2 linked regions of the Saccharomyces cerevisiae S288C genome follow. The protein of the gene in region 1 purifies or fractionates together with the protein of each later gene. This does not show direct contact. Each region holds a gene or a part of one and is shown on either strand. Other genes may lie near its edges. The genes, in order: LYS14 and IRC20.

What was found.
Region 2: the proteins of LYS14 (region 1) and IRC20 purify together in Saccharomyces cerevisiae (affinity purification with mass spectrometry, with the first as the bait; one large-scale study listed by BioGRID). This does not show direct contact.

The regions. Positions count from the first base shown.
Region 1 is NC_001136.10:509,089-514,217, reverse strand, and holds LYS14 (Lys14p), read left to right. Parts: upstream 1-2,108; coding exon 2,109-4,481; downstream 4,482-5,129. Other genes in the region: MRH1 (Mrh1p), read right to left, coding at 5,109-5,129. UniProt on the Saccharomyces cerevisiae protein: Activates the transcription of lysine biosynthesis genes. This activation is dependent on the inducer alpha-aminoadipate semialdehyde and repressed by lysine.
Region 2 is NC_001144.5:628,106-635,472, reverse strand, and holds IRC20 (E3 ubiquitin-protein ligase IRC20), read left to right. Parts: upstream 1-2,118; coding exon 2,119-6,789; downstream 6,790-7,367. Other genes in the region: serine/threonine protein kinase RCK2, read right to left, coding at 1-1,221; palmitoyltransferase ERF2, read right to left, coding at 7,276-7,367. UniProt on the Saccharomyces cerevisiae protein: Is probably involved in a pathway contributing to genomic integrity.

The sequences.
Region 1 (5,129 bases):
AGAGAAATTTAGAAACAGATTTTTTGGCACAAAGGCAATGAGACTTAGAGATGAAGTATCAGGTAATAATTTATACGTATACTACATCGAGACCAAGAAGAACATTGCTGATGTGATGACAAAACCTCTTCCGATAAAAACATTTAAACTATTAACTAACAAATGGATTCATTAGATCTATTACATTATGGGTGGTATGTTGGAATAAAAATCAACTATCATCTACTAACTAGTATTTACGTTACTAGTATATTATCATATACGGTGTTAGAAGATGACGCAAATGATGAGAAATAGTCATCTAAATTAGTGGAAGCTGAAACGCAAGGATTGATAATGTAATAGGATCAATGAATATTAACATATAAAATGATGATAATAATATTTATAGAATTGTGTAGAATTGCAGATTCCCTTTTATGGATTCCTAAATCCTCGAGGAGAACTTCTAGTATATCTACATACCTAATATTATTGCCTTATTAAAAATGGAATCCCAACAATTATCTCAAAATCCACATTCTCAACATTTCTTGTGCATCATATAATCTTAGGAAGAAGGACACTATTATATAAATATCGTCTATTAAGTACTATTCGTGTTACTGGTATATTATTATATATGGTTGTTAGAATAAAAATCCACTATCGTCTATCAACTAATAGTTATACTATCAATATATTATCATATACGGTGTTAAGATGATGACATAAGTTATGAGAAGCTGTCATCGAAGTTAGAGGAAGCTGAAGTGCAAGGATTGATAATGTAATAGGATAATGAAACATATAAAACGGAATGAGGAATAATCTTAATATTGGTATATAGAAATATAGATTCCATTATGGGGATTCCTAGACCCTCGAGGAGAACTTCTAGTATACCCTATATACCTAATATTATAGCCTTTATCAAAAATGGAATCCCAACAATTATCTCAACATTCACCCATTTCTCAATGGTGTAAGAAGAGCACATAAAGATTGAGAAACTGCCATCAAATCTAATGGAATCTGAATGCAGTGATTGATAATATGATAGGTTAATGACTGACAACACATAAAATGAAAAGAAAAATAACAATATTACTTGAAATGTTTGAAATGTCAATTCCCTTGTGCAGATTCCTATATCCCTGAGGAGGTGTTCTAGTAAACTCTGTATACCCAATGCTATAGTCTTTTACCAACATTGAAACTCAAGAATTACCTCAATATTTACCTACTCCTGAAAAGGAAAAGAAGAAAAAAATTATAATATTATTTATGGTTATTATCAACATTTTGAAGTAGCCTTCTAAAATCTGAGGATAATTTCTAGCATATGTCACTAATGTATGTCATTACCCGTTACTCAAAAGCATGATAAAAAAAATCACCATAATATACGCTTGGCTTTTACTCCTTGCTAAATAAATTACACAATGCTCAAAAATGTTCTTTATTCTAAAGGATTCATTGAAACAGGCAACCATTCAGAAATCATCGATAGTATTAAGCGCATAAACATTTAGAATATACATCCCTAATTTTGAAATTTAAATCAGATATTGTCTAAACATGTGCTCTGACTCGCTATATTATGCAGAATGTACAATCTCGTCTAAGCATATGTCACCATCTTCTTTTCCTGCAAGCCAGACACATTCTCTCTTTTTCAAGAAATTGTTGTCTACAATAACGTATTACGAAATTAGGCGACTGCTGGTATAGATCACAGAGACAGGGCCTCACTTATTTGATAACACAAGGAAACGATGACCAAACAGCGTTACAGCACGGTATGAATAAAACGACACCTTCTTAGCCGTGAATTCCGCGCTTCAAGTTGCACATCATTGCCTACGAGGACGCGACGTGACTCAATTGGAAGAAATGACAGTGGAAAAATTTCCTCAGGAATTTCAAAATCATAACCATAGGCCGATTAGAATGCTTATTGTTCTGCATCACTTCAGTCTAGGCGAATAAGAAAAGCCCAGCAGAGGTCATCACGTAGCTACAGGAATTGCTGTGAACGTTGCTAGATAAATTTTCCTTTTTAGTCCTTATCTCCCTGTTTCTTCCTTCTCTCATCATTTTGGTATAAGATCTGTTTTCTGGCAATAATGTTCGAATCTGTCAATTTGGATGAAAATTCTCCAGAGGATAGAGAACTGGCTAAGGTTTTGTCCCCACCGGGTAGTTATCTTTCTCCAGCTTCACTAGACAGTGGTTCATCGTTCACAAATAGTGGGACTTCAACTAGTTGCTTTGAACCAAAAAACAATCTACCCTCCTTATCGTTTTTAAATGCTAGAGCGGGATCTTTAGGTGGCATTTTTAATCATAAACAGATGACCTCGCCGTCAAATTCGAATATAGGAGGCGAAAATGTAGAATCGACCACAAGTAGTAATGACGGCAGTAATGAAAATGCAGGTCATCCCACTACTTCAGAGCAAGATCAAAATGCAGATCACCCCACTATTTCACAGGCAGATGATAATGGACACTCATCGTTGACCCCTAATCCTGCTGTAACTTCAACTGTTACGGATAAGAAGGGAAATACAGTAAAACGGAAGTACTCCAGAAATGGGTGCTCCGAGTGTAAGAGACGAAGAATGAAATGTGATGAAACTAAACCGACTTGTTGGCAGTGCGCAAGATTGAATCGTCAGTGCGTTTACGTTTTAAACCCAAAAAATAAGAAAAGAAGAACCTCAAATGCTCAAAGAGTAAAAGAATTTAGGAAGCACAGTACTAGCCTCGATAATGATCATAATAATGCTCGCAAGCGTCAGCATTCGTCATGCAAGGCTGAGAAGAAGAAAAAAGTACGACAAAATTTAAGTGAAGACACCACGGACCCTAAACCGATTACAGATAACGGCAAGAATGTACCTTTGGATGAAATAGAATCCCTAGAGATTCCAAATTTGGACCTTACCACCACAATGAATGGATATGACGTTAATTTACTAATGCAGAACTTGAATGATATGGTTAATATGAAACTTCATGACTCTTACTTATTGAATGAAGAACTGAAAGGATTAGATTTGCCCGATTTGGACATACCTGAACTTTTGCCCGCTTCGAATGTGAACAGTAGCGTACCAATATCCTTTCTGGTGAATAATGTAATAACTTTCAACACAAAACTAAGCTCGTTCAAACTAGGTGGAATCCACGATAAGTATCTAAAGATATTTTACTACGATTGCTTAGATTCTATTGCGCCCTTTTTCCAAAATCAAGGGAACCCGTTAAGAGATATCTTACTTTCATTTGCGAAAAACGAGGCCTATCTTTTATCTTCCATATTAGCTACGGGAGCATCTATAGCATATAGAAAGTCTAATAACTTGGAAGATGAACGAAACTATTGTGCTTATTTGTCACATTGCCTGAGCCTGTTGGGTGAACAATTCAAGAATGAGTCAAACGTTTTAAATAGGATAGAGCCTATCATCCTGACGGTCATCATGCTTGCATGGGATTGTATTTATTCAATGAATTCTCAATGGAGGTCTCACTTAAAAGGTGTAACTGACCTTTTTAAAAAAATCAATGCCGGGAATTCCTCCAAAGTACTTAACGTTGCAAAATGTTGGTTTAAAGTTATGGAAACATTCGCCAGTATAAGTACGGTATTTGGCGGATCTTTAATTGATAATAATGACCTTGATGCAATTTTTGATCCATATGATTACCAATATGTTGACTCGTTAAAATTTTTAAATATTATGACTCCACTAAATGAGTTTAATCTTTTAAGAGGACATAAAGAAGATTTCGATCTTGTTATTAAAGAAGTTTTCAAATCACTCAATACAATTAGGTCAACTGAAAAAAATTACTTTTCTAAAGAAGAAGGTTTGTTCACTAAGAAATTAGACTATCTGCTTTTATCATCCCAAACTTCGTCCGAAAAGTCCAAAGACCAGATATCATATTTCAATACGCAGAAAATTCTAGTGGAAATTGACAAGCAATTAGATTACGAATTTATTGACAAATCTGGAATTATACCCTCAGACAATCAGTCACACCCTAGAATTAGTAATATTCATGATAATGCCATCGATATGGTGACATTAAAGAACGGTGAAGAAGTTGCCATCAGCTGGTATGATATTTCTCATCAGACACAAGTTTTATCTTTCTTATTAATTGTATTATTAAAACTTTTAGGTATGCCAAAAGAGTCAAGTACCATTCAACAAGTGGTCAAGAAAATCATGTCTTTCTTCAAATTCTTAGACAGTGACTCGCCGCCACAAAATTCAAGGACTTGTTATAGTAATTTTGCTGTATTGATTGCAGGTTTGAATGCAATGGACGAGGAAACAAGAGCGATTGTTAAAAGATATTATAAAATCAATGGTGGAAAATTTCAAAAGCTCACAGAACATAATCTTAACAGACTGGAAAAGGTCTGGTATGGTAAAAATCAAAATTACAGGTTAGAAGAACAAGACGTTTTAACATGGTAGTTTGTCTGTTTACGTAATAATTTTGCCTGTAGATTGATATAAAATTGTGTACGGATAATTGCACTGGCACGTCAAAAGTCCGAGAACTATTTTTCTCGAGAATGCCGCGCAAAGCAGGCACCGTGCCTTTATCTTTCTTTTTTTTCCTCCAGCACTAAACCTTCCATAACAATACTATTAGAAAGGTTGTTATCAAATATTAAAATAACTATTAAAGTGATACAAATATATATATAGATGACGATGGGCATAAAAAAGCTCGTTTCTAATCATCAACTATACGTTTCTTGATCAAAATGCACTGAGCAAAATATTGTTATGAAAACATACTTGCTTGACGAAATGGATTAAATGGATCCATTAAATTAAAAAATGAGTCTAGAATTGCACTTTATGATAGAAAATAAAAATTCGACAAGAAATGGTGATAATTTAACGAACGAAAATATTGAAACGTCAGGAAAATAAAATAAAATATGATAAAAGTTGAAGATGGAGTAAAATAATCTTGTCAAATAATCAATAAAGACAGTTTTATCCATTTATAGGATTGGCTTGAAGTAGAAAATTCTTCAAAGATGATTGAAAGAAAGAAGAAAGTAGCACATAATTGACATGACGATTGGCTTATTCTTCAGACTTCTTAGA
Region 2 (7,367 bases), on another chromosome or scaffold:
ACCAATCCCCCACATATCCACTTTCATAGAATAATGCTCATCTTTGACAACTTCAGGGGCAGTGTAACCGACTGTACCACAAGGAGTCTTGGTGTTCTTGGAAAATATTTGTTTAGACAAACCAAAATCAGCTAGTTTTACTATACCAATTCCACCACCACCAACTCCTGGTGTGAAAATTCCCTCGTCTGCCTTTGTTTGCGGATCATCCGATTTCCTCAATTTTGGTTTTATAGAGCGTGTGAATTCAATCGGTTCAAAAAGAAGATTCTCAGGTTTTATATCACGATGCACTACACCTAGTGAATGCATATGTTTAACAGCCAGTGCTAATTGTTTGATTACATGCCTTGATAAATCTTCACTGAAATAGGTCAACCTAACAATTTCGCCGAAGATTTCCCCACCGGTTAGTAACTCTTGAATAATATAATAATAGCTATCTGTTTCTTGGAAGTCTATGAACGCGACAATTTGTGAACAACCAGCGGAAACCGTCTTATGTAGTGCAACTTCCTTCAAGACTTGATCTCTGGAAGAAGTTTTAGTGCTGTCCTTCCCTTTGTCCTTCTTACGATGATCACCATTAATCGAGGATAAATCTGCCTTTTTGATAACTTTAATGGCAACAGCTTTATAGTTTTTAGTTAAAAATTCATTAGAACTATTTTTAGCAGGTATGGCTCTAAAGACTTTTGAAAAAGCACCTTCACCGATTTTATTGATCAGCTTGTAACCTATCAATTCCTTTTGTTCGAGGAAGGATTTTTCCGGAATTTCATCTTCCATATTGTCATCATCAGTACTGTCATCCTGGATATCACTGATAATCTCGCTTTGTTCCGAAAGAGATTCGTCAGATATTAAGGGGTCGGAACTTAATTGACCTTCACTACTTTCATGGACATCGATAGCTGGCACGGAAGTAACTGTTTCCACATTTTCCGTGGTAATATTATCACTCGGTGAAGAGTCCGAGTCTATCGTGGTTACTAATTCATCGGTTAAAGACTTCATATGATGGTCATCTGCGACAACACTCGGGTACTGAACTATATTTTTGTCCTGAAAGCTTTTCTTAGGGGAAGAAGTAATCTGGGAAACATCTTTGTTATTTGTACCGCTTGACCTGGTCTTACCCTTGAATGGTTTTTTAGATTCCTGAGACAAATCTGCCTGATCCGGTTTCTTTTTCGAGAAAAGGGCCTTTATTTTAAGCATCGAAGAGATTTTGTTTGATCCTCTCTAAATAAGCAGTACTCTTAACAATACTTTCGTCTTTTCCAATCGTTAAATGTTTGTACTTCAAATAACGTATGAACTATCTGGGATTTTATTTTCTTTAATTTTTTCGATGTCACTCTTTTTTTTTCTTTGGCCGATCCGTCTTTTCTAGTAAGCGTTTGTAAAAAGTTAGATGTCAATAGGAGAGATAAAGCCCCAGAGATAGAGTTTGACTTCGTTGAAATAACTGTCGCTGATTACTATTATCTAGGATTCTTGACGAGGTTTCCTCTTAATCACTGGATTTATAATTATAACCTTAAACCTAGCCAGTAAAAAAGTTTAAAAAGAACAAAAAACAATAACAAATAAATGTCCCTTTATCCTCCTTTTTTCTCTTGATTGCTATAAAGTAAAAAGATTACTAGACTTTATGCCAACGTACTCGTGGACGACTAAAACTAACGGTGATTTTTTGGATCGTAGTGGCTCTTTTTCAGCCTTCGTACTTTCAAGAATAAAGGAAATGGCAACTACTAAAAAGAGTGCCTGCGCAACGGATGTTTTATTAGCTTGAAGATGTAGCTGAATAACTCCTGTTTTTAAGTGAGCTCGAAATGACGAACCAGTCAAAGAACAAACTTGACCGCAAATACAGGGACATCCAAGGAGTCTGGGATAGCTTCACTCCTATGAGAGCTCAAGGAATTACCTGCTCGCATCTCTGACCAAGGATAAGGCTCGTTTTTTCCTTTTTCGGAACACTCGAACTGCTACCCGTCTTTTCCAGATCTACAGCTGATGAAATGTGGCTGATGAATGTATTGATTTGCCACTTTCTAGGCGCTGTCTAAAGGAATGAACTCCAGGAAAGGCCAACTTATTCGACGGTAAATGTCTGCAGTAGGTGCGCTATTAGCAAGGGAGTACAACGTGACTGCCGAAAAATGCGACTTTTTCCTAGAAAATGGTTCTTTTGATTCAGTGATAGCAGCATTGCCAGCGCTAAATCAGGAACAAGAGACTGTAACTCAAAAAGTTAGCAAGAACGGAAAAGAATTAATCAACGTTGCCTCGGTAAATATCGAAATACCAGAGCGAATAAGTCTTTCCAACAACGGTAGGCAGTTATTTAAATTTATTGTTGATATAGAGATCTTACCTTGTGAAAATGATAACGAGGCAACACTTGTTGTGTCGTCAGATTCCGTATCCTTATTTCAAATTGGATTTAAAATGGAGAACAATTCAAAAATCGCTGTTGACAAACAACTTCCGCTGATCTTGGATATATGTGCTCATAAAAACCAAGAAAGGGCCCTACGAAATCAGTTAGAAAATCGTAAATCTTTAGAACGCAAACCATCAAGAAAGAGAAGAAAAAAAAATTCAAATGTTAACGATCCTGAAAAATTACTAAAAAGTCGTATACACGAATTATCTTTGTCCTACAAAGATTTTGAATGCTCTCCAGTCGTATTCCGATACAATGATTCCTCTTTAACATGGGTTTTATCTTTTAATTTGAAGTTGAAGTTTTTAAATAATAAATTCAACCGGTTTTCCGTGGAGGCTAACCAAATACTGGACTTGACGTTCTCTAATAGGGACGAGAACGAATTTGAGCGATATCACAAGCACAGCCATATCCATTCAAACTTCATTCAAAAACAATTTATTTCTCAAATCTTGGAATATAGTAAAGATAGGCTATCAAAGATCAAACCGTTCTTACCCCAATCTATACCAGACCTAAAAGTTAACCTCTTACCATTTCAAAGAGAGAGCGTTGAGTGGATGCTAATTAAAGAAGGGCATGGTAATTCTCTTAGTGATACACCTACAGTCATCGACGAAGTAGGGCTTATAGATTTTATGAACGAGTACTATGCATACGGTTACGAGCTCATTGCACGCAGCCCTGACGAGGTAGGGCCATCATTGTTATGGAACAAATTAACAGGATATATTCTAACTACAGAAGATGCTGCACATTTGTACAACCAATATAGGAAGGAAAGGTTAAGCGGCGACTACCCAGTTTGTGCAAAGGGGGTGTTAGCAGAAGAGATGGGGTTGGGCAAAACTATTGAAATTTTATCACTAATACTCTTAAATAGAAGGAAATTGAAGGACTCAGAGGCAACATTTATTGACGATGAAAATAGAACAATCACGAAGACAAAGACGACTTTGATTATCTGTCCCAATGCTATCTTAAAACAATGGCTCGAAGAAATCGAATTACACGCAAATTCCTTAAAATGGTATACCTATAGAGGATATAATGAGATAATGAAAGATTGCAAAACTGTGGACGAAGCTGTTCAACAATTGTGCCAATACGATATTATAGTTACATCATATAACATTATTGCCACGGAGGTCCATCATGCTGAGTTTAACCGTAGTATCAGATCGAGAAGGTTGAAAAGCCCAAAGTATGACTATTCTTCACCGTTAGCTTTGATGCAGTTTTATAGAATCATTCTGGATGAAGTTCAAATGCTACGTAGTTCATCAACATATTCTGCAAAATGCACGAGTTTACTTCATAGAATACACACTTGGGGTGTTTCCGGGACTCCAATACAGAACATTTACAACTTTAGGATGATCATGTCTTATTTAAAGCTGCATCCATTTTGTGATGAGGTAGACTTTATTCGGACACTTCAAGAAGAAATTAAACTAAGAAATGAGGCTAAAGATTACACTAGTAATGATTTTGTATGCCAATTAAAGGGCGTTCGGTTTTCTATCAAGGATTGTATGAACATTTTTTACAGGTATGATCTTTGCATAAGGCATTCGAAAGCCAATGTTGCGTCTCAGATTCATATTCCGCGGCAACACAACTTCATCATTCCCCTGGAGTTTGCGCCTATCGAGTGGGACAACTATTTAAATCTTTGGAACAATTTTTTAGAGTTGAGTGGCTATAATTCGGATGGCAGTGGATCACCCCGTGTAAGCAATGCCTTTTTAAACGAATGGTTGTCTAGGCTGCGATATATATGTTGCCATGCATTATTTCCAGAAATTTTAAGTACCCGACAGAAGCGCCTTCACGGGCACTTGTCAAGAATTTCAAATATAGACGATATCTTAATATCCATGCGAATGGATGCATTTGACAGTTTAATTGGCTATTACAGAGAGAGATTCCATTTATCGATCAAGCAGGCACAGTATGAACTTGAAATTTCCAATACTCCGGCCAAAGCCCTTGAATCATTTATCAAAATCAGAGATGATTTGATGATACACATACGCCAAAAATTCAACGTTGAGGATCCGTTTGATAAGTCGTTAAACCTCAGTGAAGATGAGGACGAACATATGGACGAGAGGTTTGGTGAGAAGGAAACATCTTCAGGCGACGAAAGCGATAGAGAAATAAATGGTGCTAAAAACCATGATAATCACAACAATGACGGAATGTTATCCAACCACCTGAAGAAGAAAGGATTACGTGCTATGATGAATTTACTGCATGATTGCTACTTCTTCCTCGGTTCTGTTTACTATAACTTGGGCACTCGTAAGCTAGAAGAGGCGGACGACAAGCATCGAAAAGAGAAGACTGAAGAAGTGGTGTATTCTGATGTTTTTCCAAAAAATGAGTTAGAGGAAATTGAAGAGAATAGACTTTTAGAACAAGAAAATTATGCGAATGCAGAAATTTTGAGGAAGTCAATCCTCTCCTCTGAGGCTAGAAAAGTTGATATGACTATTAAAATGGCCAGAACTAAGTTTGCTCCTATGACGAGCAATATACCTTTGCGATTAATCAATATTGAATTTGACCACAAAAATGACTACTCATCTAATTTAGCAGTATCTCGTTGTTTCAAGTCTTTGAGTAAGTTGATAGAAGGGTTGAATGAACAAACTAAAAACTTCAACGAGTTATTGGATGAGTTACTCATTATTATCTATGAACCTGTCCACAGGACAGAGGACGATGATAGCACTAATAAAATTATCGGTAATGAAGAATATTCAACATCGATTGACAGTCAAGATAAGATATTCAGTCTTCTTGGTTGCTTGGAGATAATTTTACAGAATAGGGACAATATTTTAACTTCAGAATCAGAAGTTAAAATTCCGAAGCATTTGGTACCGGAAGGTTCAATAATTTCAAAATATCAAAAGCAGTTATTGAACAGCTTGCGCTTGATTTCAGGAACACCTCTACGAACTGTTTTTGATGAACTGAAGAACAGCAGGATAGTAAGACGGATATCCTCAAGCAATGAAAGTGAATCTACCATTCAAAATTTTGAGGACTACTTACTTCAGTACGAAGTTGAAAGTAAAAGCCTGTTTAAGTACAATAAACAGGTAAGAGAATCTTTGAAAATCCTGGGATCGATTTATAATGCCAAGACGGAATATTATAGTCAATTACAGAGGATTTCCGATTCATTGGTGTCCTTGCACTCTTTGAGTGCTCCACAACTCAGCCATCTAATAAGAACTATCAATAAGTCATTGGGCGGTACACTAGATGCAAAAATCAATAACATTGAATCACGGCTGATATATTTAAAAAATTTGTCCAGATTGAAAGACACATTAAACGATAATCAAATATTGAGCTGCTCTATCTGTTTGGGAGAAGTTGAAATAGGTGCTATCATTAAGTGTGGACATTATTTTTGCAAGAGTTGTATCCTTACGTGGCTACGAGCCCATAGTAAATGCCCTATATGCAAAGGTTTCTGTAGTATATCGGAAGTCTATAACTTTAAGTTCAAGAACTCAACGGAGAAGAGGGAAAAAGAAATTCAAGAGCCACGAAGAGAGGGCGCCGATTCGTCTCAAGATAATTCAAATGAAAACTCGATTATATCCAATATGAGTGAAGTAGAAAAATTATTCGGAAATAAATACGAGCAATTCCATCAAATTAATGAAGTCCATCAAATTCACATAAAGGAAAGTTTTGGTGCTAAGATTGATTTCGTCATCAAGTTAATATCTTACCTGAGGCTAAAAAGTGAGCAGGAAAACGCTGATCCGCCACAAGTTATTCTATACTCTCAAAAGACAGAATATTTAAAGGTCATTGGTAAGGTATTAAAGTTGTATCACATTGAACACTTGGCATGTCTATCTAATACAGCCAATGTTGGCGAAACTATAAATAACTTCAAACGCCAGCCTTCCGTCACTTGCCTACTTTTGAATGTGAAAACTTTAGGTGCCGGCCTGAATTTGATAAATGCAAAACATATTTTCCTACTAGATCCTATCCTTAATAATAGTGATGAATTACAAGCTATGGGAAGGAATAATCGTATAGGACAAGATGAAGAAACTTTTGTGTGGAATTTCATGATCAGAAATACCGTTGAAGAAAACATCCTCAGATATAAATGTATACTCGAAGAGCGCAAAAGAAAGGAGAAGTCAAAAAAAGGCGATAAATACGACGAAGCACAAGATGAAACGGATAATGAGGAAAGCGATGATGCGAAGTTTGAGATAAGCGTGGTAGACCAAGAAGTCAGTAATGAACACTTATGGAACTGCTTTTTTCACGGTAGTGATTAGAGAAGTATGACTTTTAAACCAGACACTAATATATTAAAATATTTAATCTTTTGAATTTTTATATAAACGGTTGCCGTAATTACTATATATATATTCAATGGTAGGAAAAAAAGATGCTGCACGTTGTCTGACATCTGAAGAAGAGTGCTAATATGTAGCTTCAAAATTTTCGGAAGGCAAAAATAATGGTTGCTAAGAGATTCGAACTCTTGCATCTTACGATACCTGAGTATTCCTACAGTTAACTGCAGTCAAGATATTTTCTTGAATCAGGCGCCTTAGACCGCTCGGCCAAACAACCACTTATTTGTTGTAAAAGTTATACGAAAAGAACCTTTTAATGAATGTTTTTTTTAACATTCTAGCCAATTTCCAACGTTTATTTGCGTATACTCAACCTATACTATGGCGGAATTCACTCCTTTCAGTAACCTTTTTATATTTTACGTACTACTGTGTCGCTGAGTTCTTTATATCTATACTTCCTTATATTTTCTGTATTTTTTCAAAGCTGTGTGCTGGCGATAAATCCATAAATCTCCAATCTCCAGCTTCATGTGGCTTTCTGGCACTTACAA